4 linked regions of the Struthio camelus genome follow. The protein of the gene in region 3 purifies or fractionates together with the protein of the main gene of each other region. This does not show direct contact. Links are inferred from orthologs where the notes say so. Each region holds a gene or a part of one and is shown on either strand. Other genes may lie near its edges.

Region 1 (7,605 bases), on a different chromosome or scaffold from region 3:
TCTTTCTTAAATATTAGTGCTCGAACTTCATCAGGATCTCCATTAAATATAGCTTGAACCAAAGGTGGCTGAAAGGAAGAAGAAAAAAAAAAAAGGAACACATCTTAGAGTATAATTCCATTTTACTTTGTGTCGACACATGCATGGTTTTTGGATACATAACACACAAACACCAAACAAGGACAAAAGAGAACATCCCAGGCAGTGAAATGAAAAATGAGAAACAACCGAACTGAAAGATTTCCAAGTTTTAAAAACCTCCAACACACCAACATACTCAGGTCATTGCCCCAACCACAGAAAGGCTGGAACGCTAGCTATAAGGGCTGAAAAGAGAAATCCTTATAATACAATTAAGGCTTAAAATAAAGTGAGCTTGTTAACACGTACTGTGGATTCTATAAAATATATGTAAACAAATCCCTTTTACGTTAGCAAGTGACTAAAGTTATTAGAAATTTTCACCTGTTTGGTTACAGAGTAAGAAAGCAAAGTGCTGATATCAGATAAGTATGGTAACAAATTCACACTCACACACACGTATTACTAAATATAGTAGGATTTCTTAGTAAGTAAGAAAAGCTGCTGAGATACGCTCGCACGATTTTAGTCAGGCACTTGACAAAGTAAAATCATTTAAAGAAATTAAAGGCGCTGCACCCACAGTGTCGACCGTGTCTAGGAAGCAACAACCTGAATCTAAGTTAGGTCTATATGATGACCTCTGCCCTTTTTTCATTTTAGCTTATAACTGCTGTTGCTTCATGTACACAATCTACTGTATCAGTTCTCAAAATAAACACAACAAATGATGGCGATATAACGATTACCTCAGTTTCTAAACTGGTACTGCACAAATACACCATTGAGGAACGGGGAGAGAAGTGAGGGGAGAAACATTTACTTCAGCCACAGTTTTACCAGGCCCTCTAGAAATCGTTTGCTACTATGCAGGAGTTGAGATTTGTTATTGCTGCACCACAAGTAAAGTCACATGCAAAGGAAGGAGCCCCTGCAAATATTAATTCTACAACTAAGCTTCAACTTTTCCCCCACTGTTCAGCGTGGGCAGTTTTTACCCTCTCCCCTCTGGTTTCAACATCAGGCGTATTCATGTCAGCCTTATGACAATTACTAGTGGCACTTGCAACCGCAGCATGAACAGGAAATATGCCAACAGACGACATGCCTTACCAGCGCGTTTCCAGAGGGCGACGGGCGTAAAGATATATTTTCCTGAGGTATTTTGGAAATAAACGTGGGAGAATCATCTTCCACCTCCTCCAAAACAACAATACAGACTCGACTCATTCGATCCGTTTGAGGAAGGAAAAGCAAACGAAAAAATGCCGGCAACTATATTTCTGGAAGCCCACTGTCGGTAGCACAACACGGAGCATACAGGAAATACTTTCACCTCTTTCACGTACCCTCACAAACTTGCAAGTGCTACTGCCGGTGTATTAACATTTAAAAAAGAACACTCCAGTCCGTCCTTGCACTTCATTGTTCAGATTTAAACACCCTGAGACGTTCATGACAATGGTTAAAAAAAAAAAGTTGTTCTTTTTTTTTTTTTTAAATAAAATTTCACTCCGCATCAAGACCGCAACAGTGAAACTGTGGAACAAGCTGATAAAAATATCTCCAGATCCAATTCAATCGGAACAGAATGCACCGCCTCAAATAGCTGTCCTTTCACCAGCAAATTTGTCTTTGCTAATGCCGCCACTTGAGCGGCGCAGCGTTAGGCGCACAGTGCAGCCATTGTTGCGGGCGGCGTGACACCAGCCTGTGCAGCCTGCAGCAGGGAACAATTGCCCTGACGGGGACGGCCGCAGCTAGACCCGAGCCTGCAAGGTCACTGACAAATGAACAGCAGCCGCCTTGCTGGTGACTGAAAATAACACCGGTTCTAGTCACCCTGTAATTCTACAGCTTCAGTTGTCAATGTCAAAAACAGTCCATCTGAAAAACGCATCTGCTTCTCAGCACTTATTCAGAACATGGTCAGAGGATGATAATTCTTTCCCATGCAATAAAAATATCTGCAATGTACAGCACGGCTGCAGCACATTTACATGCGATGAGTCAGACCACAGGGACAATGGAACTCCTTGAATAACATTGCCTGTTTAATCCAGATTCCCCAAATGACAGCCACGAAGACAGCTTTACTCCATCAGTGACACAAGCAACGCAGAGTGTTCGGTTCTCCTTCAGCAGGCAAGAGCTGTGGCTTCTCCATCAGGGACTGCGTTAGGCAGAACGAACGCTTCAGCAAAACAAGCTAGCTACCACGGCACAAAAGCTCAGATTACTGCCTGAGACGACTTCTGCAAAAGCAGTTCATCACTCAAGTGTTTCTTTTGATCACCATGTGAATACAGTTCCCATGATAGTCTTCATTCAGATTGAGGGGGAGAGGAAGGAGGGAAAGAGGAAAAAAAAAAGGAAGGAGGAAAAAAAAAAAAATCAGACTCCGTGCATCTTCTCTGAGCCAACTTCTTTATTCAAACATCTGTCACTGTGCCAACCTGATTCTCCTCTTCAGTTAAAGGTTCCGCTTATCAATTTTTCCTTGACAGATTAAATGATGTGATCAGCAGATAAGTCTTGCAAAGCTTAAGAAGAAGAAGAAAAAAAGCCTGTCTGAATCGGTCATTAGGAGACCGGAGGAGCGGAGCACAAGCCACAGCCACAGCAGCTTTCCAACTGAGCAGGAGCCGACAGCGCACAGACTGCAGGCTCGCAGGATGAAACGCCTAGTAATGCTCACATGTCACACTTACCCGAGAACTGAGCTACCGCGCGCAATGCAACTTCCTCCAGGGAAAAAGAAAAAAAAAGAAACAAAAAAGCGCCCTTTGGGCAGTCTCTGCAGAGGCAATGTTTGTGCCAGTTCCGTGACTAATTCATCTCAAAACGTAAAAATTCTATAACTGAAGAAAGAGCGACTGTTTAATATTTTCCACTAAAAGCCACAAAGAAATCTGGTGTACTGGCTCTGCTGACTAACAACAATTTAGGCGGTAAACAATTCCAGCATTTTAACTGCTTTCATATGGCACTGGCCGGAGCAGCAAAACAATCCTTGCTTAACTCCTTGAAGACAAGAAACTCCCCACAGAAGTCTTCTGAAAATGAAATGAAAGTAAAATCTCTCTTAAAAGTAATCAGTTGACTATTAAAAGCTAGTCATTAATGACCAAACCCATGTTTTGTTGCAACTAGTAGACACCAACAGACCCTCAGCCTGAAAGAAGAATTACATCAAGTATAATTTGAATAAAATAAAGTCCTACAACTTGCTGAATACATATTTCAGCTTGAATCTACTTAAACAGTGCTGGTTTGTGGGTGTATTATGTAAATGAATCCTGTCAGAGTTGCTGGAAATGCTTCAGCGTTACATGAACAGAGGGAGGGCTTCTTGTTCATCCTGCGCAGCGTGGAGGTACTTCTGCTAACGTCCTTTAGCAGCTGATAGGAGCATAATTTGTCAATGGTGAACAAGTTGAAGAATTTTATAACTCTTCCACAAAACACTCTCACTCAAGTTTCACATATTCATCCAGGCAGAGAGAAAGACTTAAAGGGTATATTAAATGGCTTGGATATTAATAGACAAACTGAATTCCCATCTTTGGAGGCCCAGTGAAAGGAAAAGCTCACATCACCTCTATTTTAAAATAATGTCTGCAATAGCTTCACTGCAACATAATACATTCTTTTAAAAAAAAAAAAAAAAACAACTACTGACACTTCCTGCAGATAACACTTTTGCACTTACAAAAACCCTATATTACGTAGCCTAAGACTGCCTGAGCTTAGGGTCGCTGGCCTGGCAGAACGCAGCACAAGCTTCGGTTTCACTGTGAAACTTCTGGTAAGGTTCAGCTTTCCCAAATGCTCCGATTTACAGCATGTGAGTAACACACATCTTCATGAATGTACCTCATTCATCACTATATATATATATAGAGTCCGGTTGTTTTATAATTTCATACTTTTGGTCTTAATTAAGAAAAAGCAATGGTTGGTACCCTACACTGCATTATTCTGGCACTTCAACAATTTATTAAAAAGAAATGATACGTTCATATGAGTACCTCTAAACGTCCTTCCTGGTCGCAATAAAAGTACAATTAATTTAAATAAAAACCAGGACATCCTCCAGGCGCATCTACTGCACCATCCTACTGCGTGCAAAGGAACACAGCAACCACAATCCATAGAGAATTTTTAGTTTTTTTTATTTGTGAAAAACACCCTAAGGAATTGACACTCTTGTTCACTTGCATAACTAAACATTATTATGAAAAAAAATAATCACATCTTAAGTCTATAAGCAAAGTAGACTTACAAAGTGTAAACATGTTTTTCACGCTATCTTTGTATATACACACACACGTACGTTAGTTAGATAATGGTAGTCTAGCGGAGTCCATATGTTAAGTAGAAATGAGCACTTTTTCAGAGCCAGTAAGTTTATACAGCAAGCAAACATTAAGAGTTCCAGACTTTACTTTGAATTAGCATTACATAGCAACAAGTCTAGTTACATAATGCTCAGTTTAGTTTAATTTCACATATCTGAAACTTGTCCATTTTTGATCCTTGCAATTCATGATCGAAATACATTTAAAAATTACAGAACTTCTGAATTTTCACAGTGAAATAAGTGTGAAGAGTTAAGAACATCTGAATCTACTCCAATTATTATTCTAGATATCTTACCTATAAATAAAATACATATAAACTATTTCCATAAGCAAGTTGACATCTTCAATCTTGTATGTTACATTTTTAAATGGTCACATTTCTATAGGCAAAAAGTGTTAAAAGCCAGTATGCCACAGCTTACATTAAAAAGAGAGCTAGCACAATTAAATCAATATTATATTGACCTTGATAGCATTCTGAACCATGTATGTTAGTAGAAGACATTAAAAAAAAAAAAAAATTACTCACACTACAAGTGTGCCATTTAATTACTTTCACACCCAAAGGACAATCTAATTTTAGAAACATTGAACTTTTTAACTTACAATTAACTCGTGCTTGCTATTTTAATACTCTTAAAATATACAATATGGTTTGGGAGTGAACACCTAAATTTACTGACCTACTGCATACTAAACCAGGTTATTTTGCATGCTTAAAAGAACAATCTTCTTCCCTCCCCACCCCCAATTGAAAGTAGTGTCTTCAAGTCAATAAAAATATTGTCATATTGTCTCTAATCATCTCTTTTTTTCAACTTCAAAAAACAGTCCAAGGTCTCCTTTGATTTGCAAAATACAAGCTGTTAATAGCTACTCTGAAAGCCAAAAGCTTACGTTCACAATTTCACTGAAGGAAAGCAAACTAAGGTTTCTGTTTTTCCAGCAGATTATCTGAGAACTAATAACTTTCAGTGAGGGAGAAAAGATAATAGCAGCAGAGAAGGAAGGCAATCTACGTTCAGGAGAATTAACTGAAGTACCCTCTTCCCAAACTAATTTTTTAAATGACAGAGCCTCACAAAGTTATGAAGACAGAATACTGCATCTCTCGAAACATACTTTTCAGTTTATCTTAGTAACATTTAAAACAACTGAAGATCAGCTGGTCATCAGCATCTATCATCTATAAAGCCTTCAAAGGCCTTTCCAGATTAAATTCTACATATCTGATATTAAAAAGCTTCTTAAAGGAGTAGTAGGAAAGATGAGTCAAGAGTGGCCTAACTTTAGTAATGGAATATCATTTCTATTGGGGTGATCTAACTGAGTCCCTGCAATAGTGAACTGTTAACAAAACAAGATCTCCACACTTAACTCTCAAATTCTAAAGAGGACAACAACGAGACACCGAATAAAGAGAATTTTTAAGCAGACAAAAGTGAGAATGTATATTTGTGAAAAACAGCTTGTGTTGACCAAACTGCTTTTTGCAAATAAAAATATCTTGTCTTTAAATAAATCAAATTCCAAGTGACTTTTGTGGGTGACAATAAAGAGAATACATCAGAAGAGTGCAACCTACAGGTTAAAACATGGATGATGGCAGCATGTCCAGTAACAGAGAGAAAGAACAGAAACTTTTTAGGAGCTAAAAATAGTAACATTTTCTAGAGATCTATCCGTTTCGTCAGGAACTGATGAGCAGAGGACGGAAGCAAGACTGCCAGTGACACTGAAAACCTCACTGAGGCACATTCAATATCAATGATCCTACTCGAATGAAGATTTCTCTCTTGCCAATCAGCTTTTACAAAGTCTTTTCTGGGCTGAGATTAATGCAACTAGTTTCATTCAATATTTTGCATAATCAGGGATCTAGGAAAAGAAGCAAATTCTGCTGTTAGGTTCCAGTAAAAATGAAGCATTTAAAACTGAGCAAAGCTTACCAAAAAAAAATTTAACAGTTTCGCAGCCATGCAAGACAAAGACCCAAGCTATGGATCAACCTGTAACACAAAGATCGTTTATAATAGTTAGGTTATGTCCCAGGATAATCAGATTTTTCTGTAAATTTACTGAAGTTTTACCCATATATACACGTCCCATACAGGGACAGTGTTCAGTGTTCAGCATCATCATGAATATAAGCTACAATACTTCCAGAAGCCTTGTGACTCACTCTTGTGAACTCCTCCTGCTCTTTCCTCTCTGGTCCTGAGGGAACGAGGTGGAGTCAGGAAGAGGAATCATGGAATCAGAGAATCACAGAATGGTTGAGGTTGGAAGGGACCTCTGGAGATCATCTAGTCCAACCCCCCTGCTCAAGCAGGGTCCGCTAGAGCACATTGCCCAGAATCACATCCAGGCGGGTTTTGAATATCTCCAGGGAAGGAGACTCCACATGTTTAAGGCAATAATAAATTATACCTTTATCCCAGTTTTGCTCTATTTATTCCAGATCATATGCACAGCTGGGATACAGGAAAGAAAAAAAGTGTGAGAGAGAGATTAGTCTTAACCTTTGCTCTCTCCACTGTATCTTTTGCTTCCAAGGACAAGCAAAATAGCTTCGCTTGACTCTATCCGACCTAGAGAACTCACGGATACCATAAGTCTAAGGTGGGGGGTGGGAGGGGGGGAGAGATGAATTTTAGTTCTTATTCTCTCACGTGTGTACATAGACTGAAACAATCTACAGAACTATATTAATTCAAACAAAACATGTGATTACATGAAACTGTGGTTAATAAAATCCAGTAACTGAATAGGCATCTCAATAAAATCTGAGATACAAATACCACAAAAAAAAAAGAAGGCATTCATTCTAACCTTTCTGTACTGAAGCAGTATTAAAAAAAAGTACCAGTGCAAAATGCATGTTTGTGTTTGAGATATAAACTTCTTTTGTACATTTTTAATCAAACCTTAACATTTTTAAAAACACTTCAGAAATAGCAATCTAGCAAGTTTCTATTTAAGGCTTTTTGCATATATTATACATTGAGCAATATGCATGGAGAGAACTTCTCCAGTGATCTACAGCATTTTACAACCACCATAACACAAAACAAGTCAACAGTTTTTTTAAAAACACCTTTGACATCCAAAATATGGAGTACAGCAACTTGTCCTATGAGGCAAGGGAAGGAGAAAAAAA
Region 2 (7,791 bases), on a different chromosome or scaffold from region 3:
CCTTCATCCCACGTGGCACTCTCCAAAACTGAATCCTCCTTCTCAGCCTCTGGACTCTGTGCAATGTAGAGAAGCCTCCTCTGCTGATCTTGCCTTCCTACCCCTCCAGGCACATTATCCAACCTTTTCAGCACTCCCAACATCATCTCAATCCACCTGGCCTACACTCAGCTTCAGCAGGTTAACTCTCTTCCACCCCCAGCACTTGGGCCATGCATGACTCCTTGACTCACCAGTTCCATTCTGAATCCGAATGACAAAATAGCGGCTGGAATCTGTCACCGTCTCCACTGCAATGCCAGGGTATTGGTCTATGGGAGCCTGAGCAAAAAGCTCCCCTATAGGCAAAGAATCAGGCGTTAACAAGAGCAACCTCTTTCTAAAAGATGATTGGGGCTGCCACGCACAGCTCTGAGCTGGCTTAGAAGCACAGGCTCCTAAGTAGCAACCACAGTTATAGTGTTGACAAGCCACACCCCTTCCCTTACCTGAAACCTTATCCTCTAGTTTTATGTATGCGGTTTTGCCTTTGGAGGTCACACGAAGTCGCCCTGTCCAATCCGGATGGTCCAGTTTCCAGTCAGAAGCCCTGAAAAAAAGAGCAACTCTTCACTGACAGTTCCTCAATATTTACATTTCTGCCCAACCAGCTCAGCTAAAGCCCCTGCTCCCAAACCTTCATCACATGAAGTTGCCTCATTCCGCTTCTCTCTCTTCCCACTAAGTTCGGGAGTCTGCTCCTCTCCATTGTGGGGTTAACTCCTCACTGAGGGTCTCAGCTCCTCTCTGTCACTACCAGTCTACATACGAGGCTCAGGATGGCCTTTCTTTCCTTCGGGTAAAGGAAAATAGATACAGTCCAGAGAACATCAACTCCCTGTCTTTACTTTTATAAACTTGCAGAAGAGGAGAGACTGAAACCCTAGAACTCAGTTGGGATAGTAAACCTAAAAAGGACTAATAAGCAACTAGTGAGCATCAGGAAGGCCTAAAAAATTTACAGCATGCTGAAAAGACACTTGATACTTTTTACAACAATGGGGTAAAATAATGAGTACTTCTAAAACTAGAGGCAGCTTGTTTACTCTATGTAAGGCACCACACACACAAGCATACACACAATCTTATTTGGCCCATCAAACTCTTTGCTACAAAACGTTGGGGGAAGGGGAGGAAAGAGTCAATCCTACAGCATTCTACACTCAGAACTGAACATTTGTGGCCAGGAATACCATCGACAGCAGCAACAGTTCAGCAAGACAAAGCAAGTGCTCCTGACACCATTAGTGTTTCAGAGCATAAACCAGTCACTCCAAGAACTCTGTGGAAGTAGCTCACAAAGTCATGTTCTGCTGGTTTTGGCTAAAGACAGAGAAGGTATTTCTAACTAACTTCTAGCCCCGCCAGAGTCACAATCAGCTTTTTCTGGCTTCCACCCCCACTGCTCCAAAAGCCAGTGGGCCAAATTTAACTTTTTGTTATACCACATCACGTTTGTGCCTCGGGGAGCAGAGCAAATATAATTGAGGGCAGAAGTTATTTCTGACTAGAAAAAGCACAGCAAGTGATTTACATCTTCATGTCCTGTGTGAGATTAACTAAGGAGACTCCCCATTCCCCTACAGCACAGAGGAGAACACTCTTGGTTTTAGGCACAGAGAATATACATCAGACTTGATACAGGTTTATCAGAAACATCAAGTACATCATCTGCAGCTGAAGTTTGTGAAACTGCAAGTGCGTAAGGCTTCAGAAAGCCTACTTGACTTGCTTAATGCCAAAGAGAGTGCAGACAGTTCAGCAGGTATTAGCACATAGAAGCCTCCGCCTCTCAAGCCTCTGTTTATTCACACAGAACAGACTGTGCTGACTCTGGGCAATTCTGCAGGAGCGCCTGAGCCAGCACACTCTGCCAGAGCAGTACCAGCTCTGCAGGGACAACGTGGGGTGGGGGGAGGGAGGGAGGGAGAGAAAGAAATACATCTACCACCAGAGAAAGCAGCTATGGTATGACTCAGAGCACACACAAGAACAGATTCGTGAAATAAGAAGAGGTCATTTTTACAAATTTACTTCTCCCTTGATCCAGGCTGCAAGCCCAGCACAATGCAGGGCATGGGCATCACAAAGCAAAACCGAGAGGCCCAAGGCCACAGCTCAGACCCCGGTTACAAGACAAAAACGAACGATAGCAACTCAGTGCATGACTGCACTACCTTTTCACTCTGCGAGAGCACAAGGAGCCCGCACCTTCCCTCAGCAACGCTTCTCCCACCCCAGTTCTGGCACCGTCAAGAGGCGCTGGCATCCCGCGGCGCAAGCGGGCCGCTGCCGCACAGGCACTGGCACCTACTCCAGCCACCGGCCCCCGGAGAGGACACCTCTCCCCACCTCAGCGAGGCGCCTACCTGCTCCAGGGCCGCCCTCCAGCTCCTCAGGCAGCGCAGAAAGGGGCTGAAGGGCGGCCCTGCAGCCAGTGCCGCCTCAGGGAGCCCCGGAGCGCAGCCGTGCTCCCCATGACGCCACGGCGGAGCGGCGCGGAGCGCGGCGGGGCGCGGCACAGCGCACAGCCCCCTGCCCAAACACAGATCGCCCGGCCTCAACCTCGGCCCCGGCTCCCTGGCACAGCACAGACCCCCCTTACCTGTATCCGCGGTTGGAGGTGCGCGGCGGGATGCGGTACACGTTGACATCAGGCTTCACACACAGAACAGACTCATACTCCAGCTCAGCCGCCGCCATCTCAGATATTAACCCCAACTACCTCAGCAGGTAACGGCGGGTGGGGAGCCTAATAGCCGGGGGCGCTTCCGACCGCCATGTTTACTGAGGGCAGACGTTGCCAAGGGCGCGCGCGTGTGGCCATATTGCAATCAGGCCGCGCTAAAGGCGTGGCGGAAGGCATCATGGATCGTGGCAGCAAAACGCTGGAGTAGGGGAGGGGAGGTGGCCATATCGAAACCGTTCCTGACAAAGCAATACGGATGGGTGCCATCTTGGATCCTGGCAGTTGCCACAGGGTTTCGCGCGGCCATACTTGATTCGGGCTGATGAAGTCGTGTCGAGCGCCATCCCGAATACTGGCGACTTCCCTTTCTCTCGGATACTAGAGTGGCGCGGAAAAGCAGCCATGTTGGAAATGGGCAGAATGGAGCAGGCGGCCACCGGAAGCCGTACCGCGTGCTGGCGTGGCTGCCCTGGCTGCAGGGGCCGCTTGCGCTGGCCCGGGTGCTAATGGCTCTGGCTGAGGGCATGGCCCGGGGCAGGATGCATGGCCCTCCTGGGCCTTCTTGGGCTCACCCCACGGAGCATGTGTGTATGAGCGGCCAGCCCAGCTTCTCCAGGAACAGAGCCACCCCAGGAAGTGTGAGAGCTGCTTCCCACATGCCCCATGCCCAGGGCAGGACCAACTGAGCACTTCCAAACCAAAGTGACACCAAGCAGAAGCTCACAGTGTTGTGTCATGTGCTGGAAAGCTGCTGCTCAGGCAGCAGCAGTCAAAACATGCAGTTCGGTTGTGTGCTTTCATGTATTTGGAGGTCTTTTAGTTCTCTGAATGTTCTGAGTACTGTTTTGGGTGCTTTGCCTTCTTTCTTTCATGTTTTTCTTCTCTGCAGCCCTAGGTCAGGAAGTTGGATTTTAGAGGAAAAAGGTTTTTTGTGTACTCTGTGGTTCTGCGACTAAGAGGCCCTTGGTAAAACAGCAAACCAAAGAGAAAGTGCAACACAAACCACTGTAAGTTTTCCAGCTAAAACTGGTGAAAGTGCATGTTAAGTGTGCTTAAGGTTAATTTCAGAGGTATGACTTCCCAGAAATTTGGCTAACCTAAGTATATAAATACTAATTTATTTATTAAATATAATAGGATAAATATTAGTAGCATTTAGACTGCTATTTTGTAATAGTCACTAACTTCCCAGTGGAAGCTGGTGCTGAAGTCTACCGCTGTACAGTTGCTTGTGGCGGACTCTAGAGAATGTTGACCCTGAAGACTGGGGAAAAAAGGGGTAAGGCAAGTTATGAACAAAGTTACGTTTGTCCACCCAGCCTGGGACAGACATAATATGGGCTAATTGTGCTAGGAAGTAATTTAAGCAATCCATGGAACACTGAATAAGCATAGTTTATTGCTGAGGGTGAAACAAAGTGAATGAAATGGCGCTGAGTTTGGGGAATTATTTTTTTTCTGGTATGGTATAGTGTTAGTTAATGCAGTGAGAGCTGAAACTGTGTTTGGAGATTTGTTATCATTTTCATTCCAGGGGTAAGTGGAACTGGGTGGTAATAAACCTCAGCCATAGCATTCTAAACAAGCAGTCCTTCTGTCAGGCCTAAGGTCCAACTAGCCCAGCAGTATGTCTCTGACAGTGCCCACTACAGAAAATATTTGAAACAAAGGGAGTTTGTGCTACTAGTTCCATAGATCTGGTAAGCGAAGCCCAGAAAAGGAAGTCTTGAGTCATTAAAGTCATTGAGTCATTAAAACTAACAAAACAAAATACTTACAATTTAACTAGCCTATCTAAATGTAACTGGCCAAATTTTTCAGAAAAAAAAAATGATGTGGGCAGCTGTATGAATAGATACACACAAAGGAAGTATGACTGGTGTGAGCTGAGTACCTGAAAAGACCTGGTTTACTATGGAATTATGCAAATACACAACTTTCCCTCTGCCAGCTTGTTCTGCCTCCTTACAGCAGGAGGGAGGGGCTGGCACACAGGATTTCTGTGGCAGATCTTGATGCTCCAGGGAGCAGAGGCCCCCACTTGAGTGAAGCAAGCTGCTCCCTGCCAGGCTGCACACTGGAGCAGGCAGATAATCTGTCTATCTTCCTGGGCAATGAGATTTGAAACCCTTCAGGCAGCCTGGACAAGAGCAAATGGGAATGTGTGGAGCCAATACTTAATGCAGGTAGGTGCCACAACGTAAAAGAAAGCTCTGCCTCCCTGCTTACAGTATGGCAGGGTTATGTTGCTTGCCAGATTGTCAGAATAAAAGAAAAGGTAAAAGACAGCACGGTTCTGATGCTGTACTGAAGCTAAAAGAGGTTAACGAGAGGCAAACCTTGGAGGAGAAGGCAACAGAGTTGCTTAAAGAAAGCATATTGAACAGCACAGAATTACACTTTCCTCACATGAGGAGAGGCTGACAGAGCTGGGACTGTTTAGCCTGGAGAAGACAAGACTGAGGGGGAATCTGATCAATGTGTATAAGTATCTGAAGGGAGGGTGTCAAGAGGATGGGGCCAGACTCTTCTCAGTGGTGCCCAGTGACAGGACAAGAGGCAACTGGCACAAACTGAACCACAGGAAGTTCCGTCTGAACCACTTTTTTACTCTGAGGGTGACTGAGCACTTGGAACAGGTTGCCCAGAGAGGTTGTGGAGCCTCCATCCCTGGAGATATTCAAAAGTGTGTGGACACAATCTGGGCAATGTGCTCTAGGTGACCCTGCTTGAGCAGGGGGGTTGGACTAGATGATCTCTAAAGGTCCCTTCCAACCTCAATCCTTCTGTGATCTGTGGGTAGCCTGATAATAATCCATGCAGAAGAATCATTTGAGCTTTTACTTTGGTTTGATTGTGTTTCAGAAAAAATAATGCATTGTCCAGTAATGTGCATGAAGCCTATCTTAATGGATGGATACAACATATGGCACATATTCCTTCTGTGCATAAAAGGCACAAGGGAAACCCACCTTGCAAAATGAATCACTTAAAATCTTGAAACAAGCGTTTACATAGAACAATCCAAACACTATTTCAGACAATGACTCTTTCACTGAAAATGCCCTGGTAAAAATTCTGACTCAAATCATCCTCCAGTACTGATCTTTTATTTTGAAGAGCTGCTTTTTCATTCTGTGATCTATGTATATACCCGTTTTGCCAAGCTTGTTTCCTGCTTGATGTGCAAAAGGCTTGTGCCTACCTGAACTTACCAAGCAGTGCACGAGAATGGTTTTGGGTTATCCAGGGGATTTTCTAAAGAAGAGAAACTGAGGAATATCAATACAGAGCAACCTTGCTGATTCCTGGAGTTACTGCAGCAGCAGCCAGTGAGTCTCTATGAAACTAAGTACATACTAGAGACAATGAAAAAAAAGAATATAGTAAAGATTGGCCACTAAAGCACCACAGCATGCTCTCTGGCGATGCAGTTATGCTAGCTATGGCTAAGCTTTATAGGGAATGTTTTGGACATTTGTTTAGGAAGATGAGCTTGACAAATACACAGGGAACTTTCAGCATCTGGGAAAGATGACAGCTATCTAGTGGCTCCACCTGCTCAGAAATGAACAGGGAGTCTCAAAGGGTCTGTAAAGCTTTGGAGAACTGCAGAAAAAGTAGTAAAAATACAAAATGGAAGTGGAATTCTCAATTCTTGCCAAACTGTTCTGGAAGCAGCCTGCATTCTCTTGAGGGTGGGAGGTTTTTGTAAGTATACCTGATCACATTTATTGAAGAGCAATTATCTATGAGTGTAACTAGTAACTGGTGCAGGTTTGTACTAACAAACAGAATCACAGAATCCTTTAGGTTGGAAGGGACCTCTGGAGATCATCTAGTCCAACCTCCCTGCTCAAGCAAGGTCACCTAGAGCATATTGCCCAGGATCACATCCAGACGGGTTTTGAATTTCTCCAGCGAAGGAGACTCCACTACCTCTCTGGGCAACCTGTGCCAATGCTCAGTCACCCTCACAGTGAAGAAGTTTTTTCTCAGGTTCAGATGGAACTTCCTGTGGTTCAGTTTCTGCCCGTTGCCTCTTGTCCTGTTGCTGGGCACCACGGAGAAGAGGCTGGCCTCATCCTCTTGACACTCCCCCTGCAGATACTTGTACACGTTGATGAGATCCCCTCTCAATCTTCTCTTCTCCAGGCGAAACAGGCCCAGCTCTCTCAGTCTTTCTTCCTAGGAGAGGTGCTCCAGCCCTCTAATCATCTTGGTAGCCCTCCGCTGGACTCTCTCCAGGAGTGCCATGTCTCTCTTGTCCTGGGGAGCCCAGAACTGGACACAGTACTCCAGGTGAGGCCTCCCCAGGGCTGAGGAGAGGGGCAGGATCACCTCCCTCCACCTGCTGGCAACACTCTGCCTAATGCACCCCAGGAGACCATTGGCCTTCTTGGCCACAAGGGCACACTGCTGGCTCATGTTTAACTTGTTGTCCACCAGGACTCCCAGGTCCTTCTCTGCAGAGCTACTTTCCAGCAGGTCAACCCCCAGCCTGTCCTGCTGCCTGGGGTTCTTCCTCCCTAGGGGCAGGACCTTGCACTTGCCTTTGTTGAACTCCAGGAGGTTCCTCTCTGCCCACCTCTCCAGCCTGTCCAGCTCCCTCTGAATGGCAGCACGGTCTTCTGGTGTGTTAGCCTCTCCCCCCAGTTTAGTATCATCAGCCAACTTGCTGAGGGTGCACTCTGTCCCTTCCTCCAGGTCATTGAGGAATATATTGAACAAGACTGGACCCAGGACTGACCCCTGGGGGACACCACTAGCTACAGGCCTCCAACTTGATTCTGTGCCACTGACCGCAACCCTCTGAGCTCAGCCATCCAGCCAGTTCTCCATCCACCTCACTGTCCACTCATCTAGCCCACACTTCCTGAGCTTACCTAGGTGGATGTGGTGGGAGACAGTGTCCAAAGCCTTGCTCAAGTCCAGGGAGACAACATCCACTGCTCTGCCCTCATCTACCCAGCCAGTCATTCCATCCTAGAAGGCTATCAGATTGGTCAAGCATCATTTCCCTTGGGTGAATCCATGCTGACTACTCCTGATCACCTTCTTGT
Region 3 (7,327 bases):
TGCCGAACTGCTCACTCTTGAGCTACAGCTCTGAACAGTGACTTGCATTCTATTCGTCTTCAACAGAAAAGGTTAGAGACACGGACTGCGGTTTGAATAAGAGCTTGTATTCTGCAGACCACTAACGGCCTAGATACCCCAACTTGCCAGTATATCTCTTTCTGCTATGACTTTGGAACAGATAACTGCATTTCATATCCCGTGCCTCAGGCTGCAAGCTTTCAGCTAAGCTGCCAACCTCCTGCTGAGATCAAAATAAAGCGTGGCTTGCCAGTAATTTTTGACTCTGCTGAAAAGCAGCTCTGCAGAGAAGGACCTGGGAGTCCTGGTGGACAACAAGTGGACTGTGAGCCAGCAATGTGTCCTTGTGGCCAGGAGGGCCGATGGCATCCTGGGCCGCGTTTAGGAAGAGCGTTGCCAGCAGGTCGAGGGAGGTGATCCTCCCCCTCTACTCAGCCTTGGTGAGGCCGCACCCGGAGTACTGTGTCCAATTCCGGGCCCCCCAGTACTAGACATGGCGCTACTGGAGAGAGTCCAGCAGAGGGCTACGAAAATGACTAGAAGACTGGAGCACCTTTCCTATGAGGAAAGGCTGAGAGAGCTGGGCCTGCTCAGCCTGGAGAAGAGAAAACTGAGGGGGGAGCTCATCAATGTGTACAAGTATCTAAAGGGAGGGTGTGAAGAAGATGGGGCCAAACCCTTTCCAGGGGTGCCCGTGACAGGACAAGAGGCAACGGGCACAAACTGGAACACAGCAGGTTCCATCTGAATCTGAGGACAAACTTCTTTCCTGTGAGGGTGACTGAGCACTGGAACAGGTCGCCCAGAGAGGTTGTGGGGGGTCTCCTTCTCTGGAGATATTCAAAACCCGCCTGGACGCAATCCTGTGCGACGTGCTCTAGAGGACCCTGCTTGAGCAAGGGGGTTGGACTAGATGATCTCCCAAGGTCCCTCCCAACCTCGGCCATTCTGTGACTCTAGTCATCTACTAAAGGAAAGAAGCAGGCTGTACTATACAGACCTATTACATTTTGGCACCCTGGGCTGTACTTCTGTCTGTCCTTCAGCTAACCCCAAGAACATTTTTAACACGCACTAGCAGTCTTCAGTAGTATAAGCTTAGAACACTAATGCAAGACACTTTGTGTTGCACAAGAAAGTTTTGTCTCATCCCTGCATCAAGAAGACCTAAAGCTAAGTTTAAGTAGGGTCACAAGAAATTTTTATATAAAGCATGTTTTGTTCAGTGACTATTCCCATCCCATCAAAAAGATTAGAAACTCATCCAATCAGCAGAGCGCACTTCCAGTCATCTGTGTTTCAAAGAATTCAAGATTCAACCCTTCACAGCCTCAAGACTCAATTCTTAGAAGGCTGGAAATGTGCTCTCTTGAAAGGGAGAATTTAGTCATGATACCCTTCAAGGGTATCGGAAACAGGTTCTCTTCTTGGAGACAAAGATGGCAAGCTTGCAACCCAAAGAACACCAGGTATCCTTGTCACTAGATGTCAGTAACATGGCGTTCCCAACAAAAGCAATGCTTTCCTTCTGACAGAAAAAATATGGAAGTAGGCAGTTTGGCAGCATCTCACCAGATGAGATACTGTCCCTGCAAGCAAAACTGACGGGGACAAGTCTGTCATTTGCTACTGAACAGAATAGTAACTATGGTCCTCACAGCATTCAAGAGAACACTACCTAACAAAACACCACTACAGGAACCTATATTCAATTAGAAATCCATAATATCTCAACTTCTGAGCCACAGCAGAAGCCATCCAGGCTCACCTATCTGGGAAAGCTCCAGGCTCAGATTTTTGGCAGCCTGAGGCTAGAAGTTGACAGCAGCTTTGTCATCCTAAAGCAAGGAAAAAAACCAGAACTTCAAAATTTACAGTTTATAGAGAGAAGACCAGATCAAACAAGACTCATTTCCTAGTGAGAAGTCAACTACATTGTACAAAGGCTGCATTTCCTGTAGCCTTACAGACTCCAAAAACCTAGACCATGGAAGAAAGGAAGTGGAAATGCATTTAGAAGAGCTGTGGGATAAGGGCCCATTTCAAACCTCAGAACAAGGACAGTTCAGCATCAGCAGAGCTATAGTCTGCCTCAGCAGGTTCTCCAGAAAGGAAGCTAGAGGGTGCAGTCCACGACCTAGCTAATTCATGTTCATATCAGGAGTACAGATAAGTCATTTTAGGGGAAGTTCCTGCCTAATCCGACCGCAAGACCTTTGCTCGGGGTGACCCAGCACAGCGGTGCAGACCTTTCCCCAACACCCTGCACCGCTCAGGTCTTGCCTCTGCCACCACCACCCTCACCCGGTCTTCAGCAGCACCGCGGACACGAAGCCGCCACGACGGGTGTTCCGGACAGAGCATTAATTAACACAGGCGGCTAACAACCACCTCCCCCCCAAAGCAACACGCGAATAGATGCTAGCCAGCTCCAGCCAGCGGCGAGGCTGGGGGCCACCCCGGGAGGAGGCCCGGCAGCCGCTCGCAGCGGGCTGAGGAGCAGCTCTCCAGGGAGAGCCCGCTTCCCTCCCTCGCCGCCCCGCCGGCTCCAGGCGGGACCCCGGGGCGGCCCGGAGACGCTGCCGGCCCCCCCCAAGGGCAGCCGTCGGGGGGCCTCGCCCTGACAAGACCCCCCTAGGCCTGTCAGTGCCACGCCGCGCCCGCCGGGGGAGGCCCGCAGACCCCCGCCCCCGGCGGGTACTGAGGGAACCACCACCCAGGGCGGCTCGGCCCCGAGGAAGAGACGAGCCCCACCGCCCCGGGAAGCCGCCCCGCGGGAGAAGCGGGACACGCACCTCCGGCGTGGAGGAAGAAGGACCGCGCGGCGGCGCCTCACCTGCCGCCGCCCGCTCGCCGCTCGCTGCTCACTACCCAAGATGGCGGCCGCCACCCCCCCCTTCCCTCCGCGCCCCCCCTATCACTGCAGAGCCGCCGCCGCGCATGCCCCGCCCGCGCCCCGCCGCAGTTGCGCATGCGCCTCCGCGGGGAGGCAGGGCGGGGACTGTGCTCCGCATCCCGCCGAGTCGCTCGGCGCGCGGGGGGGGTGGGGGGGGCCGCTGAGTATGCTGGGAGTTGTGGTCCTGCGGCGCGGCGCGCGCTGGGAGTTGTAGTCCTATGGCGCGGTGCGAGCTGGGAGTTGTAGTTCCGGGAGGTAGCAGAGCTGACACACCCACGCGTGGAGTTGCGCAGGCCCAGCAGCAGCCCCCCCGGCCCGGGGGGGGGGCTCGAAGCACGGGGCATCCCCTGCCCCTCGGCATGGTCCGTGCGAGCAGGGCCCTCAGCCCACTGTCCCCAGCAGCCCTCAATTCCCTGATCCGCAGGGGGCTGGGGATACCCGTGGGACACAGCCCGTGGGGAAAGGTGGGTGCACTCGGCCAGGCCCCCAGCTGCCGTGCCCAGCCACAGGCACTGCTGCTTTCCCATCACCCACCCGCGCCATCCCCCCTCACAGGCCATATGTGCAGGTGCTCCTGGGGCAGCTCGCCCTCTGCCACCCTCTCCCCCTCATCTCATCGTGCCACGGGCAGCCAGGCAGAGCCCACTTCCAGAGCTGCCCAGGCCCCAGTCATCCCCCCACCCCCCAACGCATGCACCGCAAATATCTTTGCCTTACAGGCCCAATGAATAATTTTTCATCTTCTAATGCTGTGATCAATCAGCTCTTGCACCAGAAAGCAGCAGCAGGAGGAGGCTGGGACAGGCCGAGGTTAAGTCATGGCAGGTCTCAATAGCCCAGGAAGAATAGCTCTGTTAGAAAACAGAGAGGCTCAGGCCCAGGACAGCCCCTCGATGCCCAGAGCTTGCTGCCGAGCAAAACACAGGAGCATAGAAAAGAAGAGGGTGCTGAAAAAAAAACAACACGAGGCAGGAGTCCAATAAAACTATGTTTATAAATAAAAACAAGGAGACTGGTTTTGTTTTTATAAAACCCAGAGGGCAGGGCAGGGCAGGGCAGGGCAGGGCAGTGAGCAGTGGTCAGGGGAGGCTGCTGGGTGGCATTACGAAAGGCAGGAGAAGGGACAAGCAGCAGCTTGCCAGCACCAAGATCAGGGGACAGGAAGATGGCAGAGACTGGGCAAATTGGCACCAGCAGGCACAGGAAGAGGAGAGGCTTAGGGAGTCATAGGGAGATGAACTGGTGGCACACAGGAGCTGGCAGAGGGGGTGCAGGCACAACGCAGACCCCAGAGGAGCAAAATACATTTCATCTCCAAAATATAAAAAATTCAAACATAAGAAAGAAAGGCTGAAGGAGGCAACACTGTTGCAGAGAAAGCCATGGTCAGCAATATGAGAGGGCGCCAAGACCAACGGGAGCAGGGTCCAATGCATCCCTACCGTACCGTGCTCAGCCCCAGGCTCTGAGGAGGAGGCCGCCCCCCACCCCCTAACCCAAGGCACATCTCCTTCCCACACCACTCTTGTAGAGTGGAAGAAAGGCTCCACACACCCCAAAGAGGAGGAAAAAACAGAAGGGAGCATCAGAGCAAACGGACTCAATTGCCATCGCAATCCTCTGTGGGCACTGAGCCCAGGGCCCTGCATTCAACACCACAGTCCTTAATTCACAGGAGGGTTTGCGTCTCTTTAGGGAGCCATTTGCATCTAGGCTGGAGCGGGGCAGGCCCAGCTCTGCAGCTTTCTGGGCCCAGAGCCCCTTCCCTCCCCTCGACAGGCCAGCAGAGCTCATCCCGGGGGAGCAGAGGGTGCGGCTGGCCAGCGAACACAGGAGATCTCCGCTTTCCCCAAAAGAATGAAAGCGGACCAGAAGTGCCCCTCCCTCACCCTCTAGCTCTGTCCAGGCCACCCACACATCAGCATTGACTGTGGGAGATGTTACATTGCTGAAGGGAAGCGCAGCAGAGCAGGAGGGGGAAGGCCCCAGCTGCAGACACTGGCCCCAGGCGAGGGGCAGCCCCTACACAGGAGACAGGCAGCAGGGTGTGCTAGGCAGGAGGGCAACGCCTGGGCCTCTGCACCCCCTTTGGCAGAGCAAGCAGAGCTCTGCCCTTACATTCACACCCGTGCACACCACACACCCCCCCAGGCCTCGACCGGACATGTTTAGGTACCCAGCGCCAGTCAGGGTCGGATGCCGGAGGAACGGACCCAATCTCAAGTCTCGCTGTCAGGGAAGCAGGCAGGAGGGTTCTGCCATAGGGTAGCGCCAGGCTCAGATTTGGCCCAAGGAGCGGCAAGGGGAGGGAGGCTAAGGGAAAGTGGCACCATCCCTCCACTCCCTAGAGGCAGTGAAGCCCTGGAACATTCATGCATTAGCCAAAAGGCAATTACACTTGGATTTAAACACATATAAGGCCAGAGCTGGGCGCTGCTCCCCTCTCAGTGCTGCGGAAAGGGCAGGGAGTCTTCCGCTAGGGGGAGAAAAGAAGACATCTTCAGCACCATGCGTGCCCAGCGCCCTTGGAGCTCCGTGTCCTCCTGTCGGGCCACGCCACGCTCCAGCTCTCCCCCCTGCGGGCGGCAGGCTCAGAGAAAGTCAAACACCCCGTAATTCTTTGCTGCTTGATAGAAGAAACACAAAAGGGTGAAAAGAAAGAAGAGATGTTTAGGGCAGAAGGACTGCGGCAGCAGCAACACACGGGCAAGCAGCACAGGGCGCTGGGATGGATGCAGATTAATGGGGTTAGAGAGGACGGCAGGAGGGAATTACCATCGGCAATACACAAGTCTGGTGGCAGGATGGGCTGGCAGAGCTCAGCAGGCCTGCCAGGCCCCTCCACCCCGCTCGAGGAGGGATTAGAATCAAGGTTTAGTTCCATTTATTTTTTTCCCTTTTTTTTCTTTTAGTTATCAAGACCAAAAAAAAAAAAAAAGACCCATAAAAACAAGGGGTGAAGCTGGGGCTGGTCCTAGGAGACAAACGACTGGGGATGGAAGGGGGAAGGAGGGGCAGCAGACAGACAGGGGACGGGCGCTTCACATTACATCCACAAAGAACTCACTGGGGTTGCCCATGGCCATTCGGAAGGACTGTCTACTGGCTGTCAGTTCTGGGGGCACAGAGGCCAGGTCACGGCCCGGCGGTGCCCCGGGGGGCCCCATGGCTGAAGGCGGTGGAGGCATCAGCAACATGGGGGGGCTGAAGAGAGGGGGGAGGCCAGGCGGCCCATATGACTGCTGGCTGTGGTGGCTGCGGATACTGTGAGCCAGGGAGTGCTGGCTGCGCTGGCTGTGCTGGCTGGCAGGCACCGAGCGCTCACTGGCCGCACGCTCACGCCGCATGCTGCTCCGGGTGGTGTGGTCCGACTCGCTCCCGCTGCCACCTGACTTGGACTCTCCAGTCTTCTCTCTCTCCTTCCTCCTCTCGCTGCCGCTGCGATTGGAACCACTGCTCCGGCTCCCTGCAAAACACACGGGGCAAGGTTAGGCAACACATCAGATAAACCAGGAAGAAAGAATCCTCTGCTCCCCACCAAGACAGGACTACAACACACTGCAGCACAGCTACCAGACTGCACAGTCCATGGTCTCACTCTCCGTTCAACTCTAATCCCATAACCCCTGTGGGATTCCTCTGAATGAAGGCTTTGATCTGGCTCCCCCATGCATACAGCCTTGCCTAAGGGACTAGCCTGTTCCCGCAGCTTCCCCCAAGTGAACAGGGCACCTGCTCAGCTCTACAGGCACATGTGGGTCCCTTTCACTCACCTTCACTGTGCTGGCTGCCTGCACTGCCCCCTCCATAGCTGTAGCCTGGGTCAGGGAAGCCGGGGTGGGGGTTGTATGGATGAGGTGGTGGATACTGATATGGGAAAGCCATAGGCCAGGGTGCGGCTCCCGGGTGTGGGAGCGGAGCCAAAGTGTCCTGATCGGAGGCACCGCTGGAGCCATCATGATCATGAAGAGACAGGTTAGCCATGTCTGCAGGAAAGTAGAGAACAGGGGTTAATCCGAGTGGAAAGATAGCCACGTGTGATGAAACAGCATCATGTCCACCCTTGTCGACAGGCAGCGATGCGGTACACAAGGAGGTAAGAGAAGCTGGCACCCTCCCTGTTAAGCAGTACAGCCACGTGTGCCTCCCGCAGGGACAGCATCCAGGCTGCGAGACTCGGAGCTGTCACTCCGAGACAGAAACAAGCTCAGAGGGAAAGGACCACATCAGAGCTAGAGCTTGCCTTGCCAATTAGTCTCATCCATCCTTCTCATTTGAGCAGAACCTAGCTGTCAAGAGCACCGCTCCCTTGCCAGCAGTGAAAGCTCAGAGCCTGGAGCCAAGTACAGTCAGAAAAGGCTAAGACTCTACTTTGGCTGCCCAGGCAAAAAGACTGCGTGGCACACGATA
Region 4 (6,257 bases), on a different chromosome or scaffold from region 3:
TCAGATGGTCTGTCTCCACCTGCAGTCCCCTGCCACATCCAGAGGAATAATGGTGAGATTGTGCCATGCACAGGGGCAGGATTGTAATGCATCACAACTACATGCTGTACAGCTTGGATGTTCTCATAGCTTTGTGTGTATTGTTCTGGGTCAGGGAACTTACGCTTAGTACCTTAACATTACCGTTAGTTTGCTGCCTATTCATTCCAGTGTCCTGGACATCTAAGAAGGGGACCATGAGAGAAGGAGGGGGAGCGTGTTAACCCTCTCTGTCACACGTACTGCTCGTGTGCAGACCTGTGTCTGCTACGCTATGGCTGTCCCTTGCTCCACACTCGGTTTCTAGCATTAGTGCTCATTTCTGCCTATGCCTTTCCCCACATCAGCCAAACGGACAGAACTGGAGCTGCCTCTTCCACGTCACACGGCTCCCTCCTCCTGAGGGAACAAGCAAAACTACTGCATTCACCCCCTGGACACAAGTATTAAGCTGCTTACAGTTCATATGTACATATGGTGTACTTTATTTTCAGTAGAGCATTACATAGTATGAAAGTGTTGGATTTTTGTACAGATGTCCCTGTATGTACAGAAGTAAATAAAACCAATCTCTTGGAAAGACACACTGGACTCCACCTCTGCTACGTGAAAACACAGCTGCTTATCCTGCTAGGAGGGGCCTGAGCGCGGGGGACTTCTCCAGCACTGACAGCACGAGGGCAAAGCCGGTGTTTGTCCCGCATCAACCTGGGTGAAGCCAGTCGAACCCCCTCTCTCCACGCACGTAGGCCGGTAGGGAAACCAGTCTAGTTCCTCCGAGGTGGAGGACCAGGAAGCCAACACAAGGACACCACAGCGACTCACACGCCAGCCAGAACCTGGAAAGAGGAGCAGGAAGGGAGGTTGGACAACGGCAGTGGGAGCAAGGGGAAGGTCAGTGCCGGCGCGTCGCACCGGTCGCCCGCCTCGCACGCGTGACCGAGGGGAGGGCGCAGGCGAGCAGCCCCAGCCCCCGGCTCGGGCGTCACTTCCACTCGGGCCTGGGGGTGCCGAGGCTCTGCCGGGCCTGCAGCGTGCGCTGCACCACGTCCTTCCACTGCTCCTCGGAGATCTCGCTGGCCCACGCGGGGACGCCCAGGCTGGGCAGCTTCACGCTGGCCATGGTCCTCTTCACCAGCTCCACGTGCTCTGGGGACAGAGGGGCGTGAGGGGGGGAGCCGGGCGGCCGGGCCCCGCCGCCAAGGGGGCCGGGGGGCGCCGCCGCTACCTGGGTCCATGGGGATGGAGCTGCGGCTGCTCCGCGCCGCGGCGCCTTCCTCCTCCTCCTCCTCCTCCTCGTCGCCGCTGTCCGCGGGGGGGTCGGGCAGGTGCAGCCTCAGCATCTGCAGCGCGGAGGGAGACAGCGGGGAGGCCGCGGCCCCGGCGCCGCCGCGGCCCGCGCGGCCCCGCGCCCTCCGCGCCGTTACCTGCAGCCGCTCCCGGAGGCCCGGAGCGGGGCCGGGGCCCGGCTCGGCGCAGGCGGCCGGGGCGGCGGCCGGGCCCTGCTCGCCGGGGCCCTGCTCCGCGTCCTGCCTCAGCGGCTGGTACAAGTAGCCGCCGCCGCCGCCGCCCTCCTCCTCCTCCTCCTCCTCCTCCTGCTCCTGCTCCTGCTCGTCCTCGTCGTCCTCGTCGTCGCCGCTCCAGCCGGCCGCGCCGTCGGGGGCCTCGGGCGGCCCCGGCTCCTCGGGGCAGACCCGCTCCGGCCCCATGCTGCGCGCCAGCGCCATCCGCCAGCGAGGCCCCGCCCCCCGGAAGCCCCGCCCCGCCGCGGGGCATTGTGGGGGTTGTAGTCCCGCCGCCGCCGCCATGTCGGCCGCCGCCCGTTTCCGCGGCGGCAGCGCGGCGCAGCAGGACCCCGCGGGCCGGGGCCGCCAGGAGGCTCACGGCGCCCCGGGAGGGGTGGGGGAAGGACGCGGGGCGGCGGCCGGCGAGGGCCGGGCCGGGCCGGGGCGGGGCGGGCCGGGGCGGGGCGGGCGGCGGTTGGGGCGGCTCCGCACTACAAGTCCCAGGGTGCGGCGGGCGGGCGCGGCGGTTGGAGCGGGCTGCCGAGCCGCCTTCCCGCCGCCAGGTACCGGGCTCCGGGGCGGCGGGGGCTCCGCGCCGGGCGGGCGGGCGGCGGCGGCGGCCTCCTCCTCCTCCTCCTCCTCTTCCTCCTCCTCCTCCTCCTCCTCCTCCTCCTCCGCGGCCCTGAGGCGGCGGCGGCGGCGCCCGCCCGGCCCGGGGACATGTCGGCGCGGCGCCCCGGCGGGCTGAGCTGCCCCGCGGGGGGTTTCCAGCCCCCTGGGGCGCAGCGCGGGCGGGCGGCGAGGTGCCCCCCCCCGGCGCCCCCCGGGGCTGGAGGGGCCCGTGGCGGGCGCCCGGCGGGGCGCGGCTCTGCCCGCTGCGGCGGCCGGGACGGAGGGGCCGGTCCGCGGGGGCCGGACCCGAGCCGGCCTTCGGGCGAGGAGGAGGCCGCACCAGCTGCCGCTCGAGGCTCCGGGGTGCCCGGGGCCCGAAACGGGACCCGCCCGCGCGAACCAGCTTCCGCGGCTCCTCCGGCCCGGTCTGCTTGTCCCGCCGCCGCAATTCTACATCGCGAGCGCCCGAGCTGCTGAACGTGCAAGCTTGCAGTTTCGTCCTGCCTTGGCATAAATAGCCAAAGCATCAGGCAAATGTCAAGCACGAGCGAAGAAATCGCGTTGTTCTCATGCTATCTCGAGCAGCAGGTTGGGTGTGCTTGAAATAGAACCGTCTGTGTGGCCTGCTGTGAGCTGGCTGGGCTATTTTAAGTGTTACTAAGCCTTGTGGCTGGCACCTTTTGGGGGACGGAGGACCGAGGCAACCGCACGGTAGGGATTTGCTCTCCTGCGCAACTTCTGCAGAGGCAGAAGGCTCCTCTGCTTGGGGTGGTGCGGTGATTCTGGGGGCGACAAAGGCGCAGCCCGGGAAAATCCCGGCTGCTTCCTGCGGGGTTTCTCTCTCCTGCTCCGGGAGCTGACTGAGTTCCCTGCAGCAGGGCTAACGGGAATAGCTTTTAGAAATGACTGAAGTGTCCCCTTCTAGGGGTAGAAGAGCGAGCCAGCCCAGTGCGCCCAAAGAAGAGAGTCCAGGAGTGTATGTTCTAAGATCGTGGTCTGTCGACAGTACCTGAAGCTTGTTGATAGCCTCCTATCTTGAAATGTTTTGGTAGTTAATTCTAAGGCTTGAAAATGGTCTAAAGTGAATAGGCAGAACAGCTTAAAAAAAAAAAAAAAAAAGGTTTTTTTCAGTCAGAGATCTCTAACTACTGTTTTTCTTCCTTTCCCCCCACCACCCCCCTTTTGCTCCAGTGACCACAACAGGTTTGGAAGGTGTTCTTGTGGAAAATTATTGAATGATTTTTCTAGTTGTTCTAGGCAACTGTATGCTGTATCTGTAGACTCTTGCGAGGTGCAAGCTGGGACAGTTTGAAGGTTGTATCTGCGGCTTCAGGCAACATGACAGCCAGAAATTTGGGAGATGCTCTTTGTAAGTGCTGTATTTGAAGAACATAGAGCTGTCTTAAAATCTAGTTGTCCTTTTCCTTAGCAGTGAAATGTCCTGGGCAAATTGCTGTGTTCCTTTTGCTGGGTGCCAGCACTGATGAGGAACAAGGGAAGCGTTGGAAGACATCCACGGCTGTTTCCCTGCTCGCAGGCTGGGGGGCTTCTGCTGGCGGTTAGGTGCTGCGTCTGACCGCAGAAGTGCGGTTGACAGCAATTGACAGAGCCAGTTGGTGGTCACAGCATGGTTGCTGTGGCACTGCTTACCCAGAAAGCCTGGACCTGGCCTTGTGATACCGTGCACAGTAGATGGAGGGCTTTGTGCGTTTCTGTGAGATCATAGCAAATTGTTTTGAGCACTTTTGATTTGACTTCCCTGCGCTCAGTGGTACAGAAACAACTCATGGCTGCGCCCTGTGTTTTCCAGCCGTGGTCAGCATCAGGCACTTCAGAGGACAGACTCTGCCACGGTAGGTGAGGTGTAACCTCCTTTTAAAAACGTTCTTACCGCTGGCAACTAGCGCCAGGACCTGCAGGGTTTCAACCTGAACGTCTCTGCGTTCCCTGCTGGGCAGATGCATGTGAAACCACTGGAAGGGAGAGCGCGACTATCGTGCGGTTGCTGTCTGCCAGAGTCAGAATGAAATGAGAAGATCTGATAGGCTTTGGAGACGTGAAGAGGCAATAAGCGCCTCGGTGAAAGCAAGCGGTGGCTCAAGCAGAAGCCCGTGCCTTCTGTGCCCGAGCCCCCGCGTGTCTGTGCGTGGTGCGCGTGCTCGATGCGTTGCCCTCTCTTCTCCCTGCTCAGAATGGGAGAAGAATCAGCCAAAGGTTCCTGATTTACGGTGAGAGAGGGAACGCCCAATTGACAGAACATGTGTGAGCATGGTTTCTTTGGTTTTGCTTATTCTAGAAAAATCTTGTTTCCCACCCTGTAAGAAACCTGTGCTTATTTTGATGGAGCTGCTCAGCCTCCCTGCAGGTATGTTGCCGTAGTTCGCGGGGGCTTTGGGGGGCAGTTGCAGCTGGGCAGGCTCAGTTCGTCGCAGGAGGACCTTGGACCTTTAACTGCTGTGAGAGCTGTTCGGAAGGAAAGGCAGCTCCGTGTGTGCGTGCAGGTGCACGGGGAGAAGCGTGCTCAGCAGGGTTCACTGCAGGGACGTACGAGTAGCTCAGGATCTGTGAGAATCCCTGTAAAAGATAGTTCTCCTCTTATCCCACCAGGTCTTGGCTTTAGCGAGAGCTTCTGTGACTTAAACGATTCAAGCTTAATTTCTCTACTATGTGAAAGCGCTTCCTTTGATCCACCTTGAATGTCAGCTCTACTTCTCTGTGGTTTGTGGTGCAGGGTGGAAAAGTGCCTGGCTCACCTCAGCTGTGAGGCTTATTGCCTCCTGCAGCCGATGCCCTCTTCAGTTCTCTAACGCAATCTCTCTCGTCAACGCTCCTGTGTTTTATAGCCTAGATCTCTGTCGCCAGAGGCTGAAGTGAGAAATCGCAGAACGTGTTTTGCAAAACTTAATATATAGTTCATTTAATGAAAACTGTTGGATGTTGTTTTTACTGTCCCCCTCCCCCCCCCCCATCTGCAGACTGCTCCCTAGATGATCTTTGAAGCTGAAGGACACTAAGGCCTGCTGGCTTACAGGAAGTGTATTGGTGCCTCCTGTTAGGAAGACTGCACGGAAAACGGGTTGGAAAGGGCATAGATATGTCTTCATTTAGATCCTAGAAATTAATATTGGGACCCAAATTCCTGAAATGGAATTTAACTACATGTGGAGTTGTAGGGCAGGAAGTAAACAGTTTTCTCCAAAAACGTGCTTAACTCATGCTTGCAGGTAGTGTGGAGGAATTTATGAATCCCTGTGGAATCACAGGAGGAAAAAATGAGTTTGGGAGAGGAGACGGCTCTAATGAACGATTTGAGACAAGGCAGGGTAGGAGAGAGGCTGAGGTTAGAGGAGCATGAAAGAAGCAGCGAGTGGGATGCAGAGGAGGAGTGGAGGGTCTTGGTGGGACCGTGACCGTGGGGTGAGCAAGGAGGAGAAGAGGTGAACCTGGGCATGACCGAGAAGGGAAGGACAAGCGTCCCAGGCACTTGGCAAAGGCAGGAGGGCATAGTGACAATTTCAGGGTAGGGTTGTGGCCAGTGGCAGAAGCAGCAAATGGAGTCTAGCTGGCTATTTTTATAAAACTGCTCTTAGTGGCAATGCAGTTCCTAGAGGAGAAAGCACTGGGGTTTGAAGAAAGAAACTTTTCACGGCAGCTGGTTGAATCTTCTTCTTTCGTTCTTTAACATACGAACCTGTAAACATCACTTCACATGTTTGACTTCTGATTATTTTATTTTTTATAAAGCAGATGAGTTTTTTTGGACCTACCCTGGGTCTGTTGAATCACAGTAAAAAGTATCCTGATCAATCTTCCTGTTTATTATGAAGGTGGTATATTTGAAGTGTAATCACTAACCTAAATAACATGACCAACCCCGCCGCCACCTCGGTGTCTATAAAACTGTTTTGCTTTCAAGGTTGGTCATCTCTGGAAAAAGCTTTCTGAGTAAGTTAGGCCTTGTGTAAGAATATAATTGTAGCAAACAACATTGTGACATTGTTGCTACAGTGTAAACGTTGTTTCCTACAGTATGACAAACAGGAGCTCGAGCTGGCGTCTCGGTTGACCTCATTAAGGCTATACGTCCTAAGAAGTTAATGT

The links. Proteins that work in one complex are often made in the same cells at the same time.
Region 1: the proteins of AP2M1 (region 3) and ANKRD28 purify together in Homo sapiens (affinity purification with mass spectrometry; 3 studies listed by BioGRID and IntAct, counting the BioPlex papers as one, with this or other methods). This does not show direct contact. The link is inferred for Struthio camelus from reciprocal best matches to the Homo sapiens genes AP2M1 and ANKRD28.
Region 2: the proteins of AP2M1 (region 3) and NECAP1 purify together in Homo sapiens (affinity purification with mass spectrometry; 3 studies listed by BioGRID and IntAct, counting the BioPlex papers as one, with this or other methods). This does not show direct contact. The link is inferred for Struthio camelus from reciprocal best matches to the Homo sapiens genes AP2M1 and NECAP1.
Region 4: the proteins of AP2M1 (region 3) and MEA1 purify together in Homo sapiens (affinity purification with mass spectrometry; 3 studies listed by BioGRID and IntAct, counting the BioPlex papers as one, with this or other methods). This does not show direct contact. The link is inferred for Struthio camelus from reciprocal best matches to the Homo sapiens genes AP2M1 and MEA1.

Annotation. Positions count from the first base shown.
Region 1 is NC_090943.1:40,772,254-40,779,858, forward strand, and holds the start of ANKRD28 (serine/threonine-protein phosphatase 6 regulatory ankyrin repeat subunit A), read right to left. Parts: upstream 3,001-7,605; 5' UTR 1,312-3,000; coding exon 1,195-1,311; intron 69-1,194; coding exon 1-68. UniProt on the Homo sapiens protein: Regulatory subunit of protein phosphatase 6 (PP6) that may be involved in the recognition of phosphoprotein substrates. Involved in the PP6-mediated dephosphorylation of NFKBIE opposing its degradation in response to TNF-alpha.
Region 2 is NC_090942.1:88,542,164-88,549,954, forward strand, and holds the start of NECAP1 (adaptin ear-binding coat-associated protein 1), read right to left. Parts: upstream 3,001-7,791; 5' UTR 2,743-3,000; coding exon 2,645-2,742; intron 590-2,644; coding exon 489-589; intron 339-488; coding exon 234-338; intron 1-233. UniProt on the Homo sapiens protein: Involved in endocytosis.
Region 3 is NC_090950.1:22,546,476-22,553,802, reverse strand, and holds the start of AP2M1 (AP-2 complex subunit mu), read right to left. Parts: upstream 3,002-7,327; 5' UTR 2,858-3,001; exon of another isoform or gene 2,817-2,857; intron 1-2,816. Other genes in the region: DVL3 (segment polarity protein dishevelled homolog DVL-3), read right to left, coding at 5,959-6,383, 6,691-6,903.
Region 4 is NC_090944.1:147,959,870-147,966,126, forward strand, and holds MEA1 (male-enhanced antigen 1), read right to left. Parts: upstream 1,801-6,257; 5' UTR 1,767-1,800; coding exon 1,467-1,766; intron 1,383-1,466; coding exon 1,268-1,382; intron 1,189-1,267; coding exon 1,025-1,188; 3' UTR 501-1,024; downstream 1-500. UniProt on the Homo sapiens protein: May play an important role in spermatogenesis and/or testis development.